Linked DNA regions of Schizosaccharomyces pombe. Changing the gene in region 2 together with the main gene of any one other region gives a genetic interaction. Each region holds a gene or a part of one and is shown on either strand. Other genes may lie near its edges.

Region 1 (3,263 bases), on a different chromosome or scaffold from region 2:
TTAAAGCGACATAATCGCTTAATTTAAAGGTATAAACAACGTATTCTTTCAATAGCTCGTTATTCTTATTAAGGATAATGGAGGTGCTTTTTCTTACTGTAATTAAAGAATTGTTTGATGTCAGCAATACTACACTACGCTATAATACACTACGTTGCGTATCACTATATGTCACATGTTCTAATTATATATAGTACCATGTATGATACGATATTGAGATTGATCTTAATGATAATCTATCAAGATCTATATTATCTGAATAATATAAATAGAGCTACTGCTGAACCTCGTTCCTCAGTTCAGTTATAAGCTATATTAGTGATAGGTAACATTATAACTCAGTTAATACAATACCTATACTCAGTTGCTACTTATACAACCTGTGTATTGTAATATAATAGATCACAAGGAAAACTCACCGCAGTTCTACGTATCCTTAAATCAGATACCAAACTGCGTAGCTTACATTTGAAGGGATTTAACAACATAATGGAATGTAGTTGACAGATGTGACGTTGTATATCTTTGAACAGGTATACAGAGATTTACGGATACCCAGACGATAAATAACGACCGTTGGGGTTAGCAGTTTTATTCTCATCAAATTAAGAAAATGTGTGTGCAAGGTAGTTATTGTTTTTATAAGGTTTTCTAAATTTCAATACTTTTAGTAGTCTCATCTTGTAGCAATCTGATCAGAAAGACATTATCATCTTTCGCATTCTGAAAAACATGAAATAGAATGTCAAGTGAATTTGAGTAAAGAACCGCACGTATTGATGTGTTCGATTTCAGCAACGTACTTGATTTTAGAAGCTCCATTATATGATTTTAGTTTAGCTAGTTAGTTTTATCTCCAGAAAATTGACAGGTATTCAATATTTACTGATTTATTCATAGTGCGCTAAATGCATCTAAGTACTGTGCTGTAATTATGTTCATTATACCCAGTATATCAGCATCTAGCAGCAAATATACATTTATGTAAATACATTTACATTTCAAATAGTAGCATCTCCAAATCGTCACAAATTGTAGAATTTACATATCTTTTTTTAAAATACTGAACGTTCCTTAATTTGATGAAATCACTTCGTCTACATTTCTATTATGTGACAATATTTGTAGGTAGCAAATATTCAAATTGATTAAAAGATTTTTTGAAATCGAAAAAAATTGTGAGTTTAATCATACCTTTCTGAAAGAAATATTTCAATTTTTTTTAAAAAAATTTGAAGGGTCTGACAAGCCTACCTCATTTTACATTTACTTTCATTTAATTATTTTTTTAAACCTGACATTAAAACAAAGTAACTCGATATAACCCTGAAAAATAATAATCAATTAAAATAAATGAGCAATCAATAAAAAAGTTATTATGTCTTTAGGTTGCAAACTTTTAAGCTGTTTTGTAATCTGAAAATCATATATGTTATAATATAAAGTAGTATATTAACAAAATCCAGTCTTTATAGCATCTGGTACCTTTTGCAAACAAAAGTTATTTAACAAGTTTAGAGTGCAGAAAATCGCAAAACTGCTTAGAGAATTGACGCAATCATAAAAACATAGAATGAAATCGCCTCGAGGAAAAATCACAATTTGATCAGTTTGCACACTCATTAAATCAAAATTATCTTTTCTACGAAATTGTGCTCAAAAACATTGAACATAGTGATTTAATACCTTCCTATTTTGTATGTTATTGTTGGTTAGTGTCAATAAGTTGATGTATTTGTTTATCCCATAATATGTAAACAAATGTCCATAGCTAGAGCTTATAAATAATTTATGCCAGCACTCAAACTTTTGACAAACAACAAACATTGGAAATATTTAAAAGTAAAGTATATTATTTTAAAACACTTAGCTGTTCGTCTTGTCTTCTATTAATATCCGTTGTGCAATTCTTCTGGATCAGAAAGCTAAAGCAGAGACGAGGAAAAAGGAATTTGGGAAAAAGCTGTCATTTACAATTTATCAACCTAAAGGAAGAGAACGTATAAGAGGAATTTATTTAAAACGTTCCTCGACTAGCTTATTTACTCGAATCCTACTTGTCTTCTTTTCCCTTAATCACAAATACCTTCAATCATGATCATTATTGACGGTAAGAATTATGCTTGGTAAGACTTTTTGTATGGTTATAAGATAAAATTTTTAACACTTACTCTAGTGTTGTATGCCTTCGAGGTCATCGAGGCTCATCCTGCCAGCATCAAGAAAGGGCACTGATAGAAGTTCGAACTAGAGGAAGGCCGTTACTATGGTATGTCACATTGATCAGAAAAAAAATATTAACTTGAAATTCAGCAAAAAATGCAGAGCCATAAAACAACAACTTAAGAGTAATTTAAAATGCGTTTGTCATTTGCAGCCTTTTCTACCCTTCGCCAATGAGTATCAGGAGTTATTAAATTTCACTCAGAAAAACCCAATATTGGCTAGCCTTTTTTTGTTTTCAACCGACAAAGATATTATGAATTCTTCTTTAAATCCTGCAAGTCAAGCCTACACCTTCGATTTAGGAAGAACACTACCCATCAGTGAAGATATATTAGGATATAGGAAACCTCTTTCACTAACAGATGCTTCTAATCGCATTGATGCAAGTCAATTGAATGAAAAAGAAAACGATTCTTTTACCATAAACCAAGAGGCCGATATTTTCAATTTCGCAAAGTACTTACATTCCAAAGACGATATATCCGGAATCCCTTGAATTCACAACTTTCGTTATTATTCCAAATAGCGACAAATGAAGGTTATTGTCATATCATATGTATAAGTACTCTCACATAAAGTATTCAATCATAAAAAGATGAAGTAATTTGAATGTTTTGGTCGTCTAAAAAGGTGCATATAACATTAGAGAAATCTATGTATTCAAATTTACTGGGGATCAAACACCATTTCAAGGATTTCCCATGGGAAGTGAAATTTAGAATAGTTGTGTATTGAATAGCGTCAATATTACTCTGATAAAGTTTTCACGGGTTTTTCTTTTCTTTTTCCACATTTAATTTAGCCTGGCAGTTGATAACTTTCGACGATGATTCAGGCTCGGAATGAGGAATAACAGAAGGGTTTTCTTTTAATTTAATCACAGAATCCTTTGAAATGAGGTCCTCCTGAGGAAGTAAATTGGACTTCCGGACAGAAGGGCTAGCCATCAATAAAGCTGAATCCTCTTCATCAACATTTTTCGTTTGACGTGTTGAAACTTCAGGGGTAACAAGAGGTATGTTTTTAATATTCCATGG
Region 2 (3,844 bases):
TTTTTCATACACTATTTTTCGTCTGCAAATTTTTTTTTTTTGCATTCCTAAAATACCTGACATCACTCAAATAGGTTCAACGCTTCTCCTCGTATAAATTGCCTATTTCAACCCCCTTTACGAAAATAACTTTGTAGAAAAAATTTTTTTCTTAAAGCGCATTTTCAACTTATTTCTCCTTTTTTTTCCTACATAAAATCACTGCTTTTTCTCGTCAGTTTTTGTAGACATTGTTTTCCCACCTCAGCTCAGAAATCTGTCCCGTCCAAAGGTAGCACTACTAACTGTACTCCAATTTTTTTTTTTACTTTTTTTTATCTTTTATCCACCCAATCAAGTTACTGTCGTTCTTATTTCCGTCATGTCTAGTAATCCCTCTCGTTCAAATTCTCGCAGCAAAAATGGCGATTTGGAGTCCGGTTTGAAATTCGTCGATAACGATCATGACTCTAAAGATATTGAAGCTCGCAACCGCAATCACTTTTACGGTTTTCGTGCCGAACCCATCTATGACCAAACCGAGCGTTTAGCCAACCAAGTCGCTGAATTGCAAGAACAACAAAAAAGATTGTTTGGTCCGTCTGGTGCTGATTTCGAGCCTAATATTCATCGTCTTCGTTATATCAATTATGGTAATCCTGCCCCTTTCGGCCTCAGTGCGTTTGCTTTCACTACGTTTCTACTTTCCCTTTTCAATGTCAATGCTGGTCATGTCAAGGTTTCCAATATGGTTACTGCTCCCGCTGCTTTTTACGGTGGTTTAGCTCAACTTCTCGCTTCAATGTGGGAAATGGCTTCGGGAAATACGTTTGGTGGTGCTGTTTTTGGTAGCTATGGCTGCTTTTGGTTAAGTTATGCTTCTATTTTTATTCCCTGGTTTAACATTCAAAATTCTTATGACGATCCTAATGACTTTAATTATGCTATCGGTCTTTACTTGATATGTTGGTTTATCTTTACCTTTTTGGTTTTGCTATGTACAGTTCGCTCCACCCTAGCATTCTTTTCTCTCTTCATGTCTCTGGACGTTTGCTTTTTGCTATTGGCATGCGCATTTTTAAGAACTTCTGACGGCTCTCCTAACGTTGTTCTCATTCGAGTTGGTGGTGCATTTGGTATCTTCTCTGCTTGTGCAGCATGGTACAATGCTATGGCAGGTTTGGCTACTATAGAGAACTCCTTCTTCACTGTTCCTCGTGCCATCTTCCCATGGAGTTTGGAAGGACTGGGTCCTGAAGAGGCTAACCGCAGACGTATGATGGCTGATGACAAGTAAGAAAATGACCACTGTTATGGTCCTTTTTCTTCATTGTGTTTTTATTGTTTTCATTAAGTTATTTGTTTCTTCAAAAAAAGTTTAGGTGAAAACAACTAGGTTGCCCTCTCGTTACAAGATATCGATTTATCATCCCAAATGGTGATTTTTTGACTTTTGAAAAATGTTTTTCATATTAGTCTTTTACATTGTCAAACTTTTTCTGGACTACTCGAGTCAGGCCATCAAATTCGTACATCCTCACTCCCGTTTGTAAATGTCTTCTTTTCTTATGTTTTAACCGTATCCTTATCATCAATTTCTCCCCATACTCCCTTCTCTGTACATTTTCTCCTTTTACATTCATCATTACTGTTGTTGAGATACCTTCTCCCATTGTTCCCAAAAACAAATCATGTACGAAGGCTACTTTCATGCCATTACTATTCTCATGATAGTTTAATTAATGTTTAATTAATAATCCATAATTCTTTTATTTTTTATTTGTTTTTTTCAAATGTTACAAGGAAGAAAAGTAGAAGAAGTCTATTGTTGTATATTCGTCGTCCTTATCAATTTATCTGCAAAGCGAAAAGACTGAAGCTTTTCAATCATTTTCCGTTTAAACAATTTAATCCATTGTTTTGTATGCTTTGGATCTAACCAATCTAATGTAATGGTAAAGTTCAACAGTCTGAATGTACGATTTTGTATAATTAAATTAAAGACTTCACTCATAGATTATATAAACAAATAGAAATTTCAAAATTCTCAATTGTCAATGCATGTTTACTGAGTTGCCAATTCCAGTATATGTTTGCAAGTAGTTATTTCACTTCTACCTATTATATGACCCCATAACATTCCCCACTCCCACTACTGTAAACAAACGCCTCTGAGGTAAACATTCCGACTTTAGAAGAGGTATGATTACCAAAAGTTTGTTTACATCAACAAGTTTCTCACACTGAGGCACACTGTTCTGTAATTTCCGTATATCATATCTATATTTACTCCGACTTGCTTCTTTTCAAACATTGCATTACTTATTGGATACATATTAAGAATTATTACAAAATAATTAATATATATTTACAGTAAATATTTCCCCGGAAAACTCCCTGTTCTCCCTTTATTTGAAAACATGGTAAACACCGACAACAAGGAAAATGAGCCTCCAAACATGGAGAAGGCCCATATGGATTCGTCCAATGCTCTTTATAGAGTTCAACGCCCTCTACAACGTCGTCCTCTACAAGAATTAAGCATTGAATTGGTGAAACCTTCACAAACTATTACGGTCAAAAAGTCTAAGAAGGTTAGTGTATAGGAACTTGAGATATTTTGAACCAACTCGTTTTATTTAAAGTATTTACTAACATTTTATTTACAGTCGACTAATTCTTCCTCTTATTTTGCCCAATTGCATGCCGCATCCGGGCAAAACCCCCCACCAAGCGTGCACTCTTCTCATAAGCAACCGTCTAAAGCTCGTAGTCCCAATCCATTGCTTTCAATGCGCTAGAGGTTTTCGATCTTTTTTTTTCTTTGCGTTTCTCGTCCGTTCATCAAGTCTTCTTACTGAATGTAATACCTCTTAACTTCATTTGTACTCGAAACTTGTATATCCTATTTTTTCTATATTACACTTCTCAAATATTTTTACCCTTTTGCTTCAGAACAAGCTTTGCTACGTTCACTTGTTGACATTTCCTAAATGTCAGATTTTGGTGAATAAACTGATGAATTGAGCATGGTCCCATTCCTTGATTTTAGTCCTTTATGCTATTCTTGCTCCTTTTTCCCTGTGGCTTAAATTTATTTCCCTTCAATCATAATACTTATCTAACAATTTCGCATACATAGATTGCACTTTTATGGTATTTGCTTGCAACCTTATCGTTAGTTACATTGGATGGAAAGGTATTGTTTAAGCCATGTCTTTTAACATTTATATTATACTTAGGAAAAGGGCTCTATATTGTTTATATCGCTTTTAATATTATTGCTTCAAAATCGATAACTGCTGTTCTTGTTTGTAGCGGCATCTAAGAATAAGTAATCACATGTTTAAAACCATTGAATAGCTGGAGCGCAGCTCCAAACAAGGTATTAACCAAGAAAAATTTTAGAAAAGTGAGTCTCTCCCTCTCTAGGAAAGTGATTATTACGTCTATTGCTTTTGCTTTAAACATTTTTTATAAATCTTCAAGCTAGAATTTATGATATAATAGCATTACAAACGATTTCTGTTACTCAGCTTTTCTATAGAAACCCAAAAAATATACATTTCAAAAGAGTTCTAGTAAAAGATTACAGCTTTTTAAAAGTTAAATGTCCCATTCCTAAAAAATGTTACAATTCCCTCATGTTTTTCTCTTCTTTTAACGTACAAAATCAACTTTCTTAGTTCCCTAGATCGTGTAGTCTACGTGTTTGTTAATAAAAATAGCGATGCAACATATGGTAGAATTCATCTAATGATTCTTAAATAACTTTATGATACTACCGTAGTGAGGTAATCTAAACATATATTACTGTACTCAAGCTTATTTTGTTAGCTTATAGTTGGTTAACAGTAGTCTTAAG
Region 3 (4,435 bases), on a different chromosome or scaffold from region 2:
CAAAGAGAAGAGGGATACTGTAATAATTGTTAAACCTATCGATACTCTCGATAAGGCTCCTGTTTTAAGTCCTACTACCTATGACACTGTTTTTCGCTACTACTATGAAATATGTGGTATCGTCTCCAGGCAACTGCTTTCTTTTATTGCTCCTTTCGCTCCTACACCAGAATCTAAGCAAGAACTCGAGAAATTAGGCAACGATTATGACTACTTTAAGAAGAACGTTGTAGACTTGCACCTAAACCTTGCTCAAGTCCTTCGTCGTGTTTCTCCTGACGCTCCATTTACAAAACTTCCATTCTCAATGCTATTGGAAAATATGGCACACATGAAACCGCGTTACTATTCGATTTCCTCGAGCAGTGTAGTGCATCCTGACAAAGTTCACGTTACAGCGGTAGTTGACAAGAAAGAATGGACTGATAAGAATCATATCTTTTATGGACTAACTACTAATTATTTGTTGGCACATTGTCGTCATATGCACGGTGAAAAAATTCCACATCCAAATGGTTTGGAATATACCCTTGAGGGTCCTCGTAAAAACTGGACCGGAAAAATTCCGATGTTTGTAAAGAAATCTACTTTTCGATTGGCTCCTCCCGATGTCCCCATAATAATGGTAGGCCCGGGTACTGGTGTAGCCCCATTCCGCGGTTTTGTGATGGAACGGGCTAATTTAGCTTCTAAAGGAGTTAAAGTAGCAAAAACACTTTTATTTTATGGTTGCCAATATTCTGACAAGGATTTTTTATATAAGGAAGAATGGCAACAATACAAAGATGTCTTGAAAGACTCTTTTGAACTGATTACCGCATTTTCCCGTGAGCAAGATCATAAAATCTATGTTCAGCACCGTCTTTTAGAGCACAGTGATACCATTGCTAAACTTGTAGAAGAAGGGGCTGCTTTTTATATCTGCGGTGATGCTGATCATATGGCTAAAGATGTTGTGAATGCATTGGCTTCTATTCTGACCACTGTTGATGTTGACGGTATGAAAGCCGTTAAAGCTCTTCGAGATGACAATAGATTTTTTGAAGATACCTGGTAAGTTTGGAATTTATCCAGACTTTGCGATTACTTCAAGACTTAATGATGCCTTTTCATCTTAGAAATAGTTTAATACAATCATTATTCCACTCGGTATTTTTATCTATAGAAAACATAGTTTTTGTAGCAACTAACGAACAGTACTCTGTAACGTTATAATATCAAAAATAAACTGCCAACTTGAATTTCTTACTGCTCAAAAATGTCTACCGAAAATGCGAATCTACACAAAGTGCTGTGTTTGTCATGATTGAAAAACCTAAACCGACTTAAAGCTGGGTAACAAAGTAAACACTGGCAGTCGACTTCATTGCACTTCAATAATTAAGGCGATTGCGAATGTTTGATCAATTTACATACAATAGAAAGTATTTGATAATTCTTTTTTTGCTTTAAAAATACACGCATCAAGTTAGAGTACAGGATGCTATAAGTTAAATCCTCGGTCAATGTGTACTTGTCAACGCAAAACATTGAGTAATATGCGGAAAAGTTAAGTTTCCAAAAGTACAAGCATAATTAATACATGTATCCTAACTGTATAATAAAACTGAGCCTTTAAGTGTATTTTTTTTCTACGTTATCAAATCTAATGCAACACAATGCTATCCTTGATTTGTTTATTAACAGATTTCGCGCGCTCAAAAACTTACCTTTAACATATATTCAAACATTAAAGTATACATAATTTAAAAATTATTTACTTAAAGCATATAAGAGCGATGAATGGAATAATTACGCCTCAAAAACAAAAACAATTAATGTCTTCTCCTTCTCGTGATCCATTATCCACTACCGAATTGTCTACTCCAACAAGTCAAACAACTGTGGATGTCAATGACACGAAAAAAAGTGAAGGATTGGACTCTACAATTATACTATTAACACCAGGAACAAGCCCAAACGCAACGCCTGGTTCTAGCGAGTTAGGGCTTTCCAAGAAGCCAAACAGGTAAAGGGCTATTACAGATGTGTAATGTAATACTAACTAGGAATATAGTATAAAAAACAATACTTATTCTACAGCAGCACAGGCCGCGTATTTAAATAGGCGTGCTGCTGATCAATCAACCGTTATGACAACCGATCCTATTTCATATGCAAATAACAATATTAATAATGGAACACTGCCACAACAAAACGCCTACTATGCCAACTCTTATTATCCGTCATACTATGCACAGTCACAAGCCATTTCCAACAATCGACCGGGTGTCTCTGGATTCCGTCCTGCATTCAATTCTGTAGCTCCTTGCTATGGTTCACAATGGCAGACTCATCAGTCTGTTCACCCTTATCATGTTAACAATACTCATCAGTATTTAAAACCATATGTTCAGAATGGTATGATACACAGCTTATGAAAAAACTAATACTTACCAAACTTTTCGTCTTTTAGTATATCCTCAAATGCCCTCTTTAAATCAGCCGGGACTTCATATTGTCAATCAACCAACATATCTCGCGCCAGTTCCTTCAGCGACTGTGCCTACGAATTCAGTTTCTCTCTCGATGCCTTCTTTTTCCCAAGGGCAAAAAAATATTCCCGCTGCCATTAATCAAGAAATGAGTGTCGGTACAACAAAGGAGAATACAAATTACCTTTCTCAACTGGTTGGATTGCATCCTGCAATTCCTCCTGCCATTCCCAGCATGTTTCCCATGTCTCATGATAATAAAAAAAGTAACATGGAAAGCACTTCTCGTACTCGGAATGTTTACATTCGTGGTTTACCTCCCAACACTTCGGATGAAAATTTGTTGCTTTACACCAATCGTTTTGGTAAAGTTAGTAGCAGCAAAGCAATAATTGATATGGAAACGAATTTATGTAAAGGATATGGGTTTGCATGCTTTGAAGAAGAGAAATCTGCATTGATTTGCATTTCAGCCATGACTTTATGTGGATATCAGTGTTCATTTGCAAAAGAAAGTTTCAGTGCACGTCTTCAAAGTCTACAAGACACAGAAAGCACCAATCTGTATATTTCTAATCTTCCTCTTCATTGGAATGAAAGTGATATTTCCACATTGTTTAAACCCAGCAAAATCATATCAAACCGCGTACTTCGTGACTCTAAGGAACAATCTCGAGGTGTTGGGTTTGCTCGTATGCAAGATCGTAAAACGGCTGAAGACATAATTAATAAATTTAATAACTTTGTCTTGGATCCTGCTTTACCCCCATTACAAATCCGTTTTGCTGATTCCACTGATCAGAAGAAGTTTAAAGGTCAGACTCAGAAAAGAAGATTATGGCGTGCTCGTGAATACAGTGTTTTAACTAAGGGAATGACAGCTAATAATGCTTTTTCCAAAGTTGAGGAGTTCGCAAATAACTCTATGCCCTCTAAAGTTGGAATGTATGTGCCATTGGAGTCGAACACAGTCTATCAACATTCACCCACTTATGATACTTACGGTTGGCAAAGTATGTATCCCTCTTATTCCGTTTATCCCTCAAACTATGAAAACAGCAGAAGTACTACGCCATATCATGCCCATCCCGCTACTTCTGCTGCTAATTAAATTTAAACATCTTTCCAGCATTTACTTGAACATCAAACTCTAATATCGAAATCTTTTCAAACACTTATCACATACTCAAACTTAAACCAACATAAAACCTGTTAGACAAAGCTTACAATTAAGGGCCAAAGCTTTCTTTCTATGTTTTTTCTTTTATTTATTATCAGGTTATATAACAAAGGTCAAACCACTACAGTATTAATGAATGATATTATACATATTTGCTTAATCGTATAAAAAGAGAGAGGTATAAATAGTCCTTGAGTGTTCAAGATAATTGCACACTGTGAATTAAGAGGATAAAAGGGATGCAAAATTCTCCTTGATTATCCAACCATCAGATACTGATTTTCCTTTACGCACAGCGACTTTTCCAAGAGTTTCGCTGATAATATTTTTGGTTACGTAAGGAAACATGTGCCTCAAATTCTCGATCAGGAATACTTTGTTGTCATGAGAGTTACGGACATATTCTATAAATTTGGGTATATCTTCAGAAGGAAACCTTACTTGTAAATCATCAGAAAGTGAACTGGTAGGTCCAATTGTCATTCCACTAGACGCTGGAGCAGTATCTTGAGAAGCCCATAAATCCTCTTTAGGATCAATTTGGAGATATGTAGATGCTGAAAATGAACTAATGGGTTCAATTAAAGATAAGCAATTAAAGTCAGGAAGAAACTTTGAATCCCAAACCGGACCTTCTACGATTACCTCTAATGGGCCGGAGGAACGATGGGTATTAGAAGCATTGACACTATCCTTGTCATCATCCTCATCATCCACAAAAGCATTATCACCATCCTCTACAATATCATCGGAATTATCTACCTCTTCATCTTCACTTTCT

The links.
Region 1: of mes1 (region 2) and cuf2, changing one suppresses a phenotype caused by changing the other (phenotypic suppression), as found in Schizosaccharomyces pombe (one study listed by BioGRID).
Region 3: of mes1 (region 2) and spo5, changing one suppresses a phenotype caused by changing the other (phenotypic suppression), as found in Schizosaccharomyces pombe (one study listed by BioGRID).

The regions. Positions count from the first base shown.
Region 1 is NC_003421.2:1,530,032-1,533,294, forward strand, and holds cuf2 (Cu metalloregulatory transcription factor Cuf2), read left to right. Parts: upstream 1-2,094; coding exon 2,095-2,126; exon of another isoform or gene 2,127-2,176; coding exon 2,177-2,269; exon of another isoform or gene 2,270-2,313; coding exon 2,314-2,722; downstream 2,723-3,263. Other genes in the region: SPOM_SPCC584.03C (GTPase regulator), read right to left, coding at 2,991-3,263.
Region 2 is NC_003424.3:1,496,786-1,500,629, forward strand, and holds mes1 (protein Mes1), read left to right. Parts: upstream 1-2,112; 5' UTR 2,113-2,399; coding exon 2,400-2,573; exon of another isoform or gene 2,574-2,648; coding exon 2,649-2,780; 3' UTR 2,781-3,299; downstream 3,300-3,844. Other genes in the region: mug86 (acetate transmembrane transporter), read left to right, coding at 362-1,276. UniProt on the Schizosaccharomyces pombe protein: Specifically required for meiosis II (MII). Binds to slp1, an activator of the anapahase promoting complex/cyclcosome (APC/C), and counteracts its function in promoting proteolysis of cdc13.
Region 3 is NC_003423.3:2,534,443-2,538,877, forward strand, and holds spo5 (meiotic RNA-binding protein 1), read left to right. Parts: upstream 1-1,707; 5' UTR 1,708-1,778; coding exon 1,779-2,008; intron 2,009-2,056; coding exon 2,057-2,400; intron 2,401-2,455; coding exon 2,456-3,585; 3' UTR 3,586-3,812; downstream 3,813-4,435. Other genes in the region: ccr1 (NADPH-cytochrome p450 reductase), read left to right, coding at 1-1,057; histone H3-H4 chaperone, CAF assembly factor (CAF-1) complex subunit A Pcf1, read right to left, coding at 3,877-4,435. UniProt on the Schizosaccharomyces pombe protein: RNA-binding protein which plays a role in sporulation. Regulates the progression of meiosis I and may function in the vicinity of the Mei2 dot.